Oryzias latipes: one gene and its partner. The protein of the gene in region 1 purifies or fractionates together with the protein of each later gene. This does not show direct contact. Links are inferred from orthologs where the notes say so. Each region holds a gene or a part of one and is shown on either strand. Other genes may lie near its edges.

Region 1 (7,783 bases):
AGTCTTCTACTCAGCAGACGGACCCCCCCAGTACAGTGAGGAACCCTACGGTTCTGCCAGGCCCGCCCGTCTCCAGCTCATGATCAGGACGACCACGGTGCAGCACTCATGAACCTGATTCTTTCCCGCTGTAAATTCCCTCAATGCATCGCGTAAATCTACACCCCCACTGAATGCTGGGAGTTGCATCAAAAATGCTCCCCGCACAAAACACAAATCACACTGAGAAAAGAATTTAATGATGTAAAAAAACGAAAGCATCTTCTGAGGGGGAGAAAGATCAGGAAAACACAGATCGGACAGACAAACTAACAAAAAGTTCCATCAGATCTCACTGAGCACAGGTTCGCCTCATCCTCCAACAAAGAAGAAAGTCCAGTCCAGGAAAGCAGGAGTTCCTCATGAGCTCAGAGTAAACGTCTGCAGCTCAGGTGCTGCAAGCCGAGTCGGTCCTTTTGTACGCCACCATGCTGCTCACTTTGTGGATAGAGGTGGTGAAGGAGCGCAAGCGCACCTCCTCTGATTGGTCGATTATCTGAGGCCCCGACTCTTCCCACTTGTCAGGAACCACCAAGTCTTTGTCCGTATACACCAGGAGGTCAAAGGAGCCTGCAAGAACAACTAATCAGAGGGCCGGCCGAGCAGGGAGGAGCTGCAGGAGTCACAGATGGATTATGGGAACTCACACTGCGTCTCCAGCAGAGGCAGGAAGGTGACGGTGGCCGTGATCTGTCTGATGACGGAGCGGATCTCATCCTGAATGGTCTTGATGGACTTCTCTCTGGGAGCACTGCTTTGAAAGGATCAGAGTCAGAGGTCAGCACACAGAAACAAAGGCTGGACTGCCCCCCTACCCCTCTGGCTCCAGCTGAAGGGGCATTTTGGAGCTGTAGTGGTGTCCCACAGTGATTCAAAGGAGGAGCCGTGGTGGATTGCTGGTAGGACGATCCGCGTCACGCTGTGGCGTTGAGGAGAAACGCATTTCCTCACGTGGGTGTGCGCTGAAGCACAGACGTTTACATTTAAATGTAAGTCATGACTTTGTTTATGCGTGACTTTTTAAATAAAACCCATGATGTGTATTTTCTGAGCGCTAACGCAGCAGACCGACTACTATTCATGACGTTGTGGAGCGGTTGTAACGTCCGGATTTGAAGACACTTTTCTCCATAAACTCAGTCATTGTAGCTATTTGGACGGCAGAGCAGCAGCCTGAAATAAAAACCACAGAAACGTTTGCTCCCTCAGAATGAGAACCTGATTTGGAGTACATGCCGAGTCCCAACCCCACAGAAAACCTTTTTTAAGGTTTAAACCGAATCCCAATTCCTCCCAGCTCCTGCCCATCCCCCCTCCAGCAGTTATGGAAACATTTGAACATTACCAGTCCTGGATGGCGTCATCAATAGCTGCATATCTTCTACGTTAGCATTTAGCTGCCAGCGCTAGAGAAACACACAACATGGGTTTTCTAGCCTTGACCTACATTTAAATGTAAACTCTGCTTCAGAACACGCCTATGTGAAGAAATGCGCTTCTCGTCCACGCCACAGCGCGCCGCGGATCACGCTAGCGGTGGTGGGATAGCCAGCCCCTGGAGAAGCTCCTTTCCTCTTGAGACATTTGGAACTGGAGAGCGGGCTCACCTGCTCTCTTTGGCCGACTTGTCACACTCGATGTCAAACTGCCATCGCTCCAGCACCTCGTTGGTCTCCAGGCAGGTGATGACCAGCACCAGCTTCTGCACGCTGCACTCAAACAGCCATTCTGAAACCCAAACCCGCGTTACACGCCTGCTTTAAGGCCTAACACGCAGACCAGGTAAGTCCAGGCTCAGAGATTTGCAGATCACCGTCCCGTTTTACCTGGACCAGGTGTGTCCATCTGGAAAACAAGCCTGTTCTAACATGACACAAGAAAAACCTATTCCTGCTGTTTCAACACCACCAACACACGAACCGAGCTACACAAACGTCTTCAGGATGCTAATTTTCTGCTGATTCTTGATAGATAGCTTGTGGTGTCCCACAAGGATCAATTCTGGGCCCGCTGCTATTCAGTATTTACATAAATGATATATTCAATGTCTCACAACTATTAAAACTCATTATTTGCTGATGACAGATCTATTCTATTCCATTCTACAAACAATCATAGGGAACTTAATGTGGTGAACATAGAGTTAACCCTTGTGCTGTCTTAGATGACCCCACCCTTACATGGATGTGTTATTCCTACCATGACAAAGGTGGATAAAGGTGGAAAGATGTCATGGAATCCATGGACACCAGTGAAGATCACAAATCATTGAAGAAAAAAGGTTCAGAGCACTGTCTAGTGGGTCTAGATGACCCAACTCCCAACGTTAAAGTGCCTAGGATAGAACAAGGGTCACACAAAATAAAATCATGGCTGACGACAAATCCTCCTTTAACCCAGATAAAACTAGTGTGACATATTTTGCTAACTACTACACCAATACCGATGTCTCAATTAAAATAAATGTCTTAATTTAAAGTGTTACAGAATTCAGATTCTCAGGCGTTTTTATCGATGACAAACTAAGTTAAAGCCTCACATCAGACACACACAAAATAAAGTCTCCAAAAGTATTTCCATCATAAGTAAATCTAAACATATTAAAATACGACAGTAGATATTTATTACACTGCTCCTTAATTTTACCATATTTGACCGACTGTGTAGAAATTTGGGGGACTGATTCTAAGAGTTCACTACATCCTCTGTTTACTTCAAAAATGAGCCGTCAGAACTGAACATAAAGCCGGATATCCTGATCATACAAACAATTTGATCAATCCAGACTTCTAAAACTGTATGATCTTGTTGTGTTTTAACTTCTATTCAGAGCCAGTGGGAAATCGTTACCATTCAATACCAAACAACACAAAAGAGTTCTTAGAAAATGAAGGAGGAACAAAGTGAGGGGATGCAGGAACTTCAAGACCAAACTGACAAGAACCACAAAGACAAGTTTGTGTCTCATTCAATCAAGCAAATGTGACTTACGGTTTTAATCTATGCATTTCATCATTTCTGTAATGACTTTGAGAAATCTGTGTAAATTCTTCAATGTTGCGTCTGACCCTAAATTATGATGAACTCTTTGGGCTTTTAGAGGACTTTTGGGCAGGAAAACATCACTATTTAGGCACATCGACACGTGGAAACAACATGAGGTGTCAATCATCCCAACATCCACCTCCATATCCCATAAATCTGTAAAGAGAAACAATATCCCACGCCTCTTGTCTTCAATAAGCCTTTGCTGGACGCTGACAGACAGGAATTGCATCTTGATCATTGCCTCCATGTTAAGAAATAGAAAAATAAAGTCCTAACAGACACGGCCTGCTTTAGGACAAAGAAAGGACAAACTACCTTTGAGTTGAGACACCACGTTGGTCAGGTAGTTGTTCAGCCTGGGCTCCGTGGAGACCTGGAGGCTCATGTCATAGTGAGTGACCCTGGTGAACGTCTCTGGGGGGTAAATGCCCCGCTGGTACAGGATGCTGTTGATGCCGAAGGCTGTGGGGAGGATCACGGGGCTGTTATTAGCGGGGGGGGGGTTGTGACGTTAATTCAGGTCAAAGACTGAGAACACTCTTTTCGTCCACACTACTCTACGTTAGTTACTCAGCCGATGATAAGTAGTTTGTGTCTGTTCAACCCGAAATCTAGCATTCCTACTTTAACTCTGGTGACGCTCGGCTTCTTTACCAGCACACCTGGCGGTGGGCGGTGTTAGAAAGCCGCCATTAACCTACACATCGACCAGAAGCAGCCATTCGATCTTTAAGAAGTTGGCTTCAGAAGGAAGGCTTTTAAAATGCTGCGACGGTTTAGGGCTCTGCCTTCGGTCTGGAGCCGCCGTAAATACACTCGCTGGCTACACACAACAACCGAGCACGCGGGCCCGACCGCCCGCTAGCACACAACAAATGAGGAAGAGCCGTTGAAAAGCCCGGCTAGTACAGAAACAAATGTTGAAACATACAGAAAAACTCGGCCACCAGCTCCGCGCTTCCTTTAAGGGTGATTCCTTTTAAAGTACTCGTCATTTCATGAAATGACAATCAACCGTTGAAAAGAAACGTCGGGCTTCTTGCTGCACTGAAGGCTGAAACTGGTACCCGCCGTCCGATTTGAAAAATCAGTGACAACCTCTACGCATGCGCAAAAAAGACAGACCTCCCCACGTGGTCAACCCTAGACAGGAGAAAATGACTTTTTTCTTTTTTTGAAACTTTATTTATACAACAGTAAACATCACATCGGCAAGTTTACCGTCAGATGGCAAAAATCAATGTTATCTTAAAAAATAAAGAATAAATTATAGTATGTAAATAAAATTAACAGGGACATCGTTAGCAAAAAGGAAAATTTAAAAACAAAAATAAATAAAAATATATTAAAGTATTTCTCAGTAGAGGGAACTATTCATCAAGCAAAAAAGCTCATATTGTTTCAGTGTTATGCCTTGAATGTAATAATCTTTTGAAGATATTAGTAAAATTGATAATCTCTATCAAAAATCCTGTAAAATTGTTTTTTTGGTTTTTTTTACTCAGCACTTATTTAAATAGAAGTAGTAACAAATCAATACTATTTCCTACCAATTGATCCTGCGAGTTAAAATATGTAAGAATGTGTTTGAAATATATAATAATAGTACTGTTCATGCTTATAAATCTTTTCAATTGGATCCAGAATTTAAGGGAGAATTGACAATGGCAGAAAAGGCGAAGAACTGATTTTGGGAAATCATTACAAAAGCTACAGTTATTTCCTATATTTGAGAATTTGAATATGAACATAGTGTGGGGTAAATGTTATGTAGAATTCATTTGTGTATTTCTTTAATTTTGTTATTTATGCCAAATGTTTCTGGCAGTAACTATGCTTTTGTCCAAATGATAGTTAAAATATTATTCCAATAAATTTCTCCTTTAGGTGTTATGCTTCTTTTTTCATATAAAGTAGTAAATATATGTTTGTTGTAGCATTTTTTATTGAAAATATCAATATCATTAATTGTCAATAGAGGGTCTATTTTTAGATGCCTTGTGATATTTAACCCTTGTGCTATCTTATGTCCCCACCCTTGAGTAACCGGCAGGTCGGCCTGTGACAGGTGCATGCCTGCTTGATTGGGGATGTAGTTCAGCTGTTCTGCTTCTTTATAAGGAACAGGGAGTGAGTTGACAGACAGTGGCTGCCTGCCTGCATGGTGGTATGTATGGCTGAAGCTCCTCTTGTCGGAGAATGTAGATCACCGGTTACTCATTTTTATTCTGCTCTTTTAACTAGATTCTGTTAGCGGCTGGACGTGTTGCAGATGTCATGAGCCACTGCGTGTTCTTTACCCACCCTTATTATACATTTTAATGTGTTTTAGAGTGGTGCTGTATTTATTGTGTTGTTGACTCTGATTCCTTTTTATTGTTGCATAGGTGTGAGTCGGGCGCCAGTGCGTGTGGTGTTGGTGAAGGGGCCCCTTGTGGCAGCGTCTTCCTCACTGTATTTATTTCCTTTTTAGTGTGTAGTGGAAGTTTCTTTGGCACGTTTTTCTTGTGTGTGTGTGTGGATTTGTTTTCAGCACGGAGTGGAGTGAGGTGCGCTATGTAATCCATGGACACCAGTGAAGATCACAAATCATTGAAGAAAAAAGGTTCAGAGCACTGTCTAGTGGGTCTAGATGACCCAACTCCCAACGGTAAAGTGCCTAAGATAGCACAAGGGTTACGGGGAGAGGTCATTAGTTGAAATAATCCTGAGGGAAGAGCTTTCATTACAATTTTCAATTCTTTTTGCTTGTTATTGGAAAATATTTTTTAAGAACCTGTCATAACCCAAAAGGGTCTTTTATTTTTTTAAACCAGTGTGGTGAAAAATTATGTAACACAGTGTACTGGGTGGCTGTGGGGTCGCGTTCTAAGTTCCGGTGTTCATTGAACGCATCAAGCAGAAATGCTGATTGGCTCTCAGTTCTGTCGCTCAACCTGTAGTTGGGGAGTTTGGTCCAATAGGGTTCAGCTATGGCCCGAATAAGGAAATGGGGCTGATGCAGGAGCAAGGGAATAAAGTTTGGGGGAGTGCTCTCAGCGGGAGGATACAAGAGTTTCTGGGCAAGTTGTGCAGCATTGGTTACAGCCTACAGTAACCAGAATAAATAACCTTAACCCTTGTGCTATCCTAGGCACTTTAACGTTGGGAGTTGGGTCATCTAGACCCACTAGACAGTGCTCTGAACCTTTGTTCTTCAATGATTTGTGATCTTCACTGGTGTCCATGGATTACATGAAATCTTTCCACCTTTATCCCCCTTTGTCATGGTAGGGAGAACACCTCAATGGAAGGGGGGGGTCATCTAAAATAGCACAAGGGTTAAGAGATTAAGTCTCCGTGCCTCAGTGTGTGGGAAAGGGACGCTACAATTGCATTACCGGGGCAGCTCTTTCGGCCAAGGCGAGCAATTAAGAGTTCTGGCTGTTGACATCGACAGATTAGTTAACCAGATTTATGCTCACATGCCCCCAGCCATTCAGGAAGAGCTAGCCCGGGACCAGACGACCTTCGCGTTCAAACCCAACCAGCGCACCGTAAGTTACTGCAGGAGGCCCTGGAGCTGGCCACAGAGAGAAAAATGCTGTGGAGGCCCTCCTCCAGGGTGGAGCTTGAGGCCCCTCCAAAGGTTAGAGCTGCAAGTGTATCAGAGCCTGACACCAAGGGGCCTGCACGGGCAGAGGAGCTGACCCAGCTAGTAAAAGCTGTGACCCTGAGAAACGAACAGGCATCCAAGGTCCGCCCCCAAAGAGACTGGAGCTGACCCAGGACCTCCTGGGGTTGTGGGAAACCTGGGCACTTGATTCGTGACTGCCCGGACAACCAAGGAAACAGGAACGGGACCGCATAAGCGGGACAATGTGGCCCCCTGAAAAACCATCCCGATTGGACCCACAGAAATGGAATGCTGGCCATGTGGGGGTCAAAGAAGTCCCATCTGAGAGACTAATGACTTTGGGCCGAACCTGGGTTGGTGACTGCTGGTTCACAACTATGAGTGTTGATGCAGCGTCATGCTTAGCTTTAGTGGACACAGGTTCATCTGCAACACTGCCCTGCAGTGGTGAGGAATAATGCAGCCATCCTTCCTAACGCTGTAACATTACAGACTGTTACTGGAGAACGGACTTTCATGCAGGGGGAGGCTGTTGTGACTCTGGAGGTGGGAAACCAGCAAGTGAATTGGCCTGTGTGGATTGCTGACTTGGAAGAATGCTTACCAGGCCTTGATTTTTTTTTGCGGGCCCAAGGTTGTGTTATTGATACCAAGAGAGGAACCCTTACATTTTCTGATGGACATGTTATCCAGATGACCAAATTTCCTCTAGATCGGGGTCCCATGTAGTTCACACCCTGTCCATGACTGACAAAACCAAGTCTGATTCAAGAAAAAAGAAGAGCTCTGTCTGTTATGTATATCCAGATGAGCCACCCAAACCATCTGTGAATAAAACACCTATAGACACAGAAAAGATGGCAGCGGTAAGCACCTGGTCTGTTTCCACCTGACCCTGTTCTGCCCTTTCTACTGGACACGGATGCCAGCAATGTGGGCTGTGGTGCAGTTCTGTCCCAGGTAAGACCTGTGGGGGACAGAGTGGTTGCATACTACAGCTGGACCTTTAACAAAGTTGAGCAAGGCTAGTGCTCCACCCGAATGGAACTCCTCGCTGTGGTCAGTGCCATTAGACACTTC
Region 2 (7,497 bases), on another chromosome or scaffold:
GTTGGCTGGGGCCCAGCAAAGTATGCAGTGGCTGTTGGATCCCTTTGTGCTCTGTCGACAAGGTTAGAAACACAGTAAATGTATTAGTTTTGGTTTTTAATTTTTCTCTTTCAGATACGCTTATTGTGCTTTAATAGACTTTAATTTAAAGTTCCCAGTTAATAGATAATACATATTAAATCAAGCCTATTCATAACATATTACTTTTTCAAAAAATGAGATAATAAGTGATAGAGTTTAAATAAAGGATTTGATATATCTTCTACAGTTTGCTGGGATCAATGTTCCCGATGCCTCGTGTCCTCTTTGCCATGGCTAGGGACGGGCTGCTCTTCAAACCTCTCAGTAAAATGAGTAACAGACAAAGTCCTGTAATAGCTACACTGGCTTCAGGAATTGTTGCAGGTAAAAACTCTGATCACATAGATATACTTTAATAGAGATGCAGGATGTTTTTCTTTAACCAATCAGCCATGAAATGCCTTTTGCATCATTCATACTATCTATGAGCACCACAACTTAACGTAAATTCCAGAGAAAATAAAACAAGCTGGGATTTGAACTTTCCAAACTACTGGCACTTTAAACTTTTAGAACTACTGCATAATAATATTAACTTTTCAAGCCTTTTCACTTGATCATTGTAACTTTAGTTGGCTAAAATTACAAGACAAGAATTTATTCGGAACAATACAGATTCCTTCTTTCTGTTTGTGAATATAATTTTTTAACTAGAAAGAATCTTATGAATGTGTGCAGTATGAACACATTTCAGTTCAGAAATCTGCTGTACGCTTCCTGCAACAACTCTCTTTGTCCAAAAATGAGAAGTCGCAGACATTTTACTGACTCGAGTACATTTATGCTTTATTCTTCTTAGCGCTAAAATGCAAAACTCAGTATAGAAATACACTTCAAGATAAACTAGATAAACCATTGTTTTAATAGAAGTATGGCTAATCTGGAGTCTTTCCCTTGAGACCTTTTGCTTTTCTGGTATTTTTTTCTTTTCCAAAACACTGCTTTATTTATTTAGAATTACAGATATAAAGTTTAAACCTTTAAATCTACATTTAACTTTAATTAAATGAGGTCACAGGCAAGTGTGTTTATATGCCTATTGTTTATATTTGCAGCTTTTATGGCATTGCTCTTTGACCTGAAGGCACTAGTTGATATGATGTCGATTGGAACGCTTTTTGCCTACACACTTGTTGCTGTTTGCATACTCATATTAAGGTATGGTTTTATTACGTTTTCTAGAAAAAGGTGCTTACATTAAATTTAGTCATGAAAAATTCAGCTCTCTGTGTGTATCAGGAAAATACATTTCAATGAAGGTTGTGTTTTAAACTACTAACCATAACTGTCAGAACTGTTGCTAAAGTTTGGATAAAACTTCTTGGAGCTAAATGCAATACTACATATCTTAATATGCTCTTCCTCATAAAGGTACCAAGTTGACCTCAATGAACATTCAATCACAGGCAAACCAGAGCCTTTCACAATAAGTGGTGTGTTAAGTCCTCCATCTCAAGCAACATTCCGGACATCAAAAAATGTGTCTCTTTTAACTCTTTTTACTAGTAAGTAATTTTTCAAATTAAACTAAACACCATATTAATTGCTATTTTAATCAAACACTAATGTTATGTTGCAGTTTTTTTAGCTGTCATCTTAAGCCTTTTCCTTCTGGAGGCTGCCACCGCCCTGCACACCCATCAGGTGTGGAGTTTGCTTTGTGTCATTGTGCTTGTGCTTATGCTGGTTCTCACAGTTCTAATTATCTGGAGACAGCCACAGAATACATCGAAAGCTGCCTTTATGGTATGTCTCATTTTTTTGTTTTTGTTTTTTCTTCATGATGGAAATTCTTTGATGAAACTGCTAACTAACCATGCTTAGTAAAATAACTGAAAATGAAAGCTGTCACTGAGAACTCACTAAATGATTCTCGCACATATCCATGGGTTTGTCATAACACTTGCACTCCTTGATGTGTGCAGGTTCCTTTAGTGCCCCTGCTTCCGAGTCTTAGCACTTTTATTAATGTATACCTCATGGTTCAGCTTGGATCAGACACCTGGATTCGCTATTCAGTGTGGATGGCTGTAGGTATGAAAAGAATATTGCACTAATTTGAATATTGCTTTAACATTTCTCAAAACATTGTTTTGCATGAGAATAACCACTAGTGATGTCTTTTATGTCTTTTTTTTTATTAGGCTTAATCATCTACTTCTGTTACGGAGTTCAGCACAGTGTCCAAAAACAAAGGCTCCAGAATTCACAGAACCAAGTCCATTTTTAAAGCATTAATGCCACGAAAGAATGAAATTACTGGACCTGGGAAAGATTTTTATTGGTTGACCGTGTGCATATCTCACAGTTGTGTTTTGTGTATTTCTTCCTTTATTGTATGTACAAAAAACTCTTTCTCAATGCTACTATGATTTATCTTCATGTCTTTTTTAGGTTGATGGTGTTTAAGCTGAATGCTTTTATGTAAACCACAAGAATACCAATGTTCTTTATAGATTATATGCAGGCTATGTTTAAATACAGTATGTAATAATTATTGTATTTTTTTATTCTTCTAATTATGCAACAGGGGGTGAAAAAGTTTGTTTTCTTCTTTCAGTTCCCTTTAAGATTGTGTGTGAAATTTTGTTTTTGTTTTATGGAAATGAAAGCAAATGAGTAAAAATATTAATATTAATATAAATATTAAAAACAATGAAACGGTGCACAAAAAATTTCGATCTTTCTTTCGATCTTTTTGGTTGGTTTGCCTTTACTGTTCTTCTGTTTGTCTTTCAAGTTTTATTTTATTTTATTTCATTTTATTTCAGGAACGAAAAAGGAACTCACAAGTTTCGTTTATGTTTCAGAAGGAAGTATTTTAACTGAACACCGTGTCTTCTGCTTCCAGCCAATTGGAGCATAGCATACGCCCTCAAGCAGCCAATCAGCACCTAACTGAGGAGAGCAGCGCATTGTTCAAAAAATTTCAACGCATTCAGGCGGAGTAAACAGCCCGGTAGCCCAGAAAACCGCAGTTGAAAACCCATGGAGAGGATTTACCAGATATTTCGATAGTGTTTAATTCTTTAGACAATTTAGGTGAGACAGAAAGGTTGGCTATTTCAAACATTGGGATCTAAGCGAAGGAATTTAAATCTGACCTGTGCTAATCGGTAAGTTTTTGTTTTGAAAACCTGAATTTTCAAGACATGACAAAACATATAAGGAATAAAAGTTAAGTTGTGCCAATAATTCCCCAAAGTATGCTATGTTAGGTAACATTTGAAGTAAGTGTGTGTTTAGCATAAATACAAAATAGATTCTTCTGTAAATTTCATTTAGGGAGTGCCAACAACACTCATAACGGGAACGTGGTGTGTTTTGTGACAGGAAAACATGGCGTTGGCGTTCTCTTTATCTTCTCCATATGGATGTCCATCCGACGAGGAGGAAGAGATGGCTGTGTTCGAGTCCACAGCAGCAGAGCACGGATGCCTGACCAGGCCGCGTCTGCCTGAGCTCTCGGTCATTTCTCCTGGTCTGGAGCCTCGATCATCTGTTGCAGCTCAGGTGAGGATCTGCTGAATCTTGCAGTTTGGAGTGGTCAAACACAAGGTTTTTGTTCCCGCTATGCACCAAAAATGTTAAAATAATTTGTTTTTTCCTATTTTTATATTTTGAATTTTGGCGTGTTTAGTGTCAAACTTATCAAAATATTAGGGAAAAAAAGCTATAAATTTGGCAGCAATCATTGATTCATGTGTTTTTTCAGAAAGTAGTAAAGAAATCTGGAATCTGTGATGAAGGGAATATGGAGAAGGTGAATGTTTTCCTGCGTATCCGACCGCTTACAGACTTGGAGAAAGAACAGGGCGAAGAGCAGGTGAGTTATGTTGTCATTTCCACAAATACTTTTTTGTGGTTGTTTTCAGTTTTGATGCTTTTTACACTTAATTTTTGCTCCTCTTTCAGGGCAGTGTGACTGTCCAAGATGATGCCACCGTGCTGCTCAAAGCTCCAAGAGAGTCTCAGAATTCAAAGACGGCAGAGAAGGGAGTCACTCAGAGCATTCACAAATTCAGTTTCTCCAAGGTAAAATAACCAAACACTGTATGGTACCTCTAGAAAAGATGGATCCACAATTTTCTGTTTTCTCCTGTTTTCCCAAAGATCTTTGGTCCAGAAACGACGCAGCAACAGTTTTATGATGCCACGCTGAAGAAAATGATAAATGAAGTTCTTAAAGGAGAGAACAGGCTTCTGTATACATATGGTGTCACCAACTCTGGAAAGACCTACACCATCCAAGGTCAATTTTATTCATTCCCTGAGATGTTTTCAGCACAGCATCTGGTTCCTTTACTCCCATATTTGAGTTTTGAATGCCATTTTACAGGCAGCGGTCAGGAAGCAGGCCTCCTGCCTCGAGCTCTAGTATCCCTGTTCAGGAAGCTGCAGGGCCGCCTTTACAGCGCCATGGACCTGAAGCCTGTGATGTCTCAGGATGTGAGGCAGCTCGACTCAAGTGAGGTCAAGATGGAGGAAATTCGCAAAAACTCTCTGCTCAAGGAGGTAAATAGAAATGGAAAGAATGGTGCTATACTTAGATTTTGACACGTAATTTGAGGTGTTTATCGTTATTGACAGGATGAAAATCTAACGTCTCGGCGAGCTGGGACTACCACAGTTTGGGACAGCGGCGTTGGAGGACTTTCCTCCACAACTCAGATCACTACACAACTGGAAGGTGAGGAGGAAAGCCACGTGTTGACAAGTTCTGTCATTTTTAGATGAAAGTAATATGATCTAGTGAGGCATTTCCTACAGGCCCCCACTGTAAGAACGTATTCACCTGCTATTAGACCAAATTTTCTTTTTGCAGACACTGACAGTGTGTGTTTGGAGCCGGACAGCCTTTCTCTCAGTGGAGGGGACGACCTGGAAGAAGGGGTGCAGTTTTCCATCTGGGTGTCCTACTTCGAGATCTACAATGAGTTCCTGTATGACCTGCTGGATACCTCACTCTCCCTGCAGTCCCGAAAAAGAATCACACTGCGGCTGAGTGACGACAAGCAGGGCAACCCCTACGTGAAAGGTAACACCAGCTGGTCCTCTGGAACAAGTCTCTGCTTTGTGTTTGACTGTATAACATGTATACATAACGTTGAGTTCTTCTTCCCCTTTCATCGCCACAGACCTTACCTGGATCCAGGTGCGGAGCGCAGAAGAAGCCTGGAAGGTTTTAAAAGCTGGATGTCGAAACCAGAGCTTTGCCAGCACTCATCTTAATCAAAACTCCAGCAGAAGGTAGGACCCCAGCAAGAGGTTTTCTGTTTTGAATTCTTTTTGTAGCATATCTAATGGTTAATTCATGAATTCAGCCACAGCATCTTTTCCATCCGCGTTCTGCACGTCCACCCCGATGCAGTTCCAGGGCAAGCTTTGCAAATCAGCGAGTAAGTTCAGCTGCAGCAAGCTCAAACTCAGTGACATTATTTTGGGCGCTGCCATGTTTTGATCATGCACTTTCCAGGCTGACTGTGTGTGATCTGGCCGGATCTGAACGCTGCAAAGAGCAGCGTCTTGGAGAAAGGATGAAGGAAGCCACCAACATCAACACCTCCCTTATGACCCTGGGGCGCTGTATCAGCGCCCTGAGGCACAACCAGAACAAGTAGGTGTAAAACTGACACTTTGGTTGGACCGAGCAGAACAAAATGTGGGAGCTGAGTTGTTGAGTGAGGGATATTCAAAGTATTTTGTATCCCGTCAATAGATCACGGCCACCTCAAGTGGTACCCTTTAGGGACAGCAAACTGACGCGCGTCCTGCAGGGCTTCTTCTGTGGGCGGGGAACCTCTTGCATGGTGGTCAACATCAACCCATGTGCTTCCACCTACGACGAAACCCTTCAGGTCCTCAAGTTCTCTGCAATTGCGACGCAGGTCAGAAAACGAGTCCTTTACCTCGACAACTGGACTGGTTTAGCACTGCATAAAAGGACAAAAATGAAATAAAACCGTTCTTTTGCAGCTCGTCCACGGCCCATCTACTAAGACCAGAGTGGCCTACATTCTGTCCATGCTTCGTGAGCAAACGGCCAACAGGAACGAAAGCACTGTGATGGAGGAAGAAGAGGAAGAAAGTGATGTTGAAGACGGAGACATCACCATGTTAAACACTGAGGTAAATGTGTTGGATCTATTCCTGGTGTTCTGTTTTATCTCTGACCTTAAAAAAGATGTAATTTTCTTCTGAGAAATCTGATTTCACTTTGAGTGTTACAACATTTTGCAAGTGTTATGGAATATTTAAGATGAACATCTCATATCTGAAAAATTGTTCCCATTTTTAAATAGTTTAAATGTTTTACATTTTTAAGACTTTGCTGCAAGCAATTGATGTCCTAAAGCGAGAAGTGCGGCGCCAGCGTGAAGAGAAAGTGGCTCTGGAGGCCAACGTGAGGGAGCAGGTGGTCTCTGAGATGATGGAAGTCATCACCAACATGCAGGAAGGTTTCAAGTATGTGTTTTTTGAATAACAATCAGAATTAGTTGTCAATAAAAGTCAGTTGGGGTCAGTTGAATTTAAACTATCAAAAGAAACATTACATCCATGATTCTTTTTTGTGTCAGTGACTCAAAAGTAAAAGTATGCAATAAGTACACGTTTTTCTTTGTTGAGACGGCTTCAGGTGCTTAGCAGTTGCTTTCTTTTAGGGAAACCCTAGAGACTGAGAAAGGTCTGATTGAAGAGCTGTATGAAAACAAGATCGCCTGCCTGCAGAAACATCTGCAGAAATTCTACAGCCGAGAGCTCGAGGTCAGACTTGGATTTTCTATTTTTTTTTTTTTAACAGTTATAGGTTTTGTTTCCTCATAGAGGGTCAGGGTAACCCCCATGTGTCTAAAATCACTGTATGGATGTTTCATAGGAGCGGGATCAGGAGATTGAGGCTTTAAAGGCAGCTCTAAAAGAACAAAAGAAGGCAGCGGAAGGACCGGTCTCTATGCTGGAGCCTTTAGGAGACTCTGATTGTCCTCGGCGGTCGCAGCGGCTCAGCTCCAACGACGTCTGCAGACTGCGAGCTGAACTTGAACAGTGTCGCATCGAGCTTTTCGCCAAGACTCAAGGTAATTCATTTTTTCATGCATGTTTAAAAAGGTTATGTGAAATCGGCTAAATATTGAGTGTCTTAATCTGTTTGAATGCGCAGAACTAATGAAGCTGAGGGCGCAGTCCGAAGTGCCTGGTTCAGCTGGAACTGTCACTGGTGCAGCTGAGCGCAAGCTGCAGGGCTGTCAAAGGGTCAGTCCACTGTCGACTTCTTTTTTTTTTTTCCATTTGTGATTTGTACGAATAAAGGTGATTCATTCTCCAACAGAACCTGCGGCAGCTGCGTCTGGACTTGCTGAGGCTGGGAGAGGAGCTGCAGTCTGGGGAGAGAGCCTGCTGTCGCAACACGGGCGGGGA

What was found.
Region 2: the proteins of mad2l1 (region 1) and kif20a purify together in Homo sapiens (affinity purification with mass spectrometry; 4 studies listed by BioGRID and IntAct, with this or other methods). This does not show direct contact. The link is inferred for Oryzias latipes from reciprocal best matches to the Homo sapiens genes MAD2L1 and KIF20A.

What each region holds. Positions count from the first base shown.
Region 1 is NC_019876.2:30,700,692-30,708,474, forward strand, and holds mad2l1 (mitotic spindle assembly checkpoint protein MAD2A), read right to left. Parts: upstream 4,204-7,783; 5' UTR 4,083-4,203; coding exon 4,019-4,082; intron 3,550-4,018; coding exon 3,403-3,549; intron 1,768-3,402; coding exon 1,647-1,767; intron 794-1,646; coding exon of another isoform or gene 791-793; coding exon 687-790; intron 610-686; coding exon 428-609; 3' UTR 218-427; downstream 1-217. UniProt on the Homo sapiens protein: Component of the spindle-assembly checkpoint that prevents the onset of anaphase until all chromosomes are properly aligned at the metaphase plate.
Region 2 is NC_019872.2:14,181,761-14,189,257, forward strand, and holds the start of kif20a (kinesin-like protein KIF20A), read left to right. Parts: upstream 1-2,971; 5' UTR 2,972-3,197; intron 3,198-3,414; 5' UTR 3,415-3,420; coding exon 3,421-3,594; intron 3,595-3,796; coding exon 3,797-3,907; intron 3,908-3,996; coding exon 3,997-4,116; intron 4,117-4,194; coding exon 4,195-4,333; intron 4,334-4,420; coding exon 4,421-4,596; intron 4,597-4,671; coding exon 4,672-4,771; intron 4,772-4,906; coding exon 4,907-5,119; intron 5,120-5,219; coding exon 5,220-5,331; intron 5,332-5,405; coding exon 5,406-5,480; intron 5,481-5,557; coding exon 5,558-5,698; intron 5,699-5,800; coding exon 5,801-5,969; intron 5,970-6,057; coding exon 6,058-6,210; intron 6,211-6,406; coding exon 6,407-6,546; intron 6,547-6,743; coding exon 6,744-6,846; intron 6,847-6,958; coding exon 6,959-7,157; intron 7,158-7,240; coding exon 7,241-7,332; intron 7,333-7,408; coding exon 7,409-7,497. Other genes in the region: cationic amino acid transporter 2-like, read left to right, coding at 1-62, 269-405, 1,137-1,239, 1,453-1,586, 1,661-1,827, 2,007-2,115, 2,226-2,311. UniProt on the Homo sapiens protein: Mitotic kinesin required for chromosome passenger complex (CPC)-mediated cytokinesis. Following phosphorylation by PLK1, involved in recruitment of PLK1 to the central spindle. Interacts with guanosine triphosphate (GTP)-bound forms of RAB6A and RAB6B.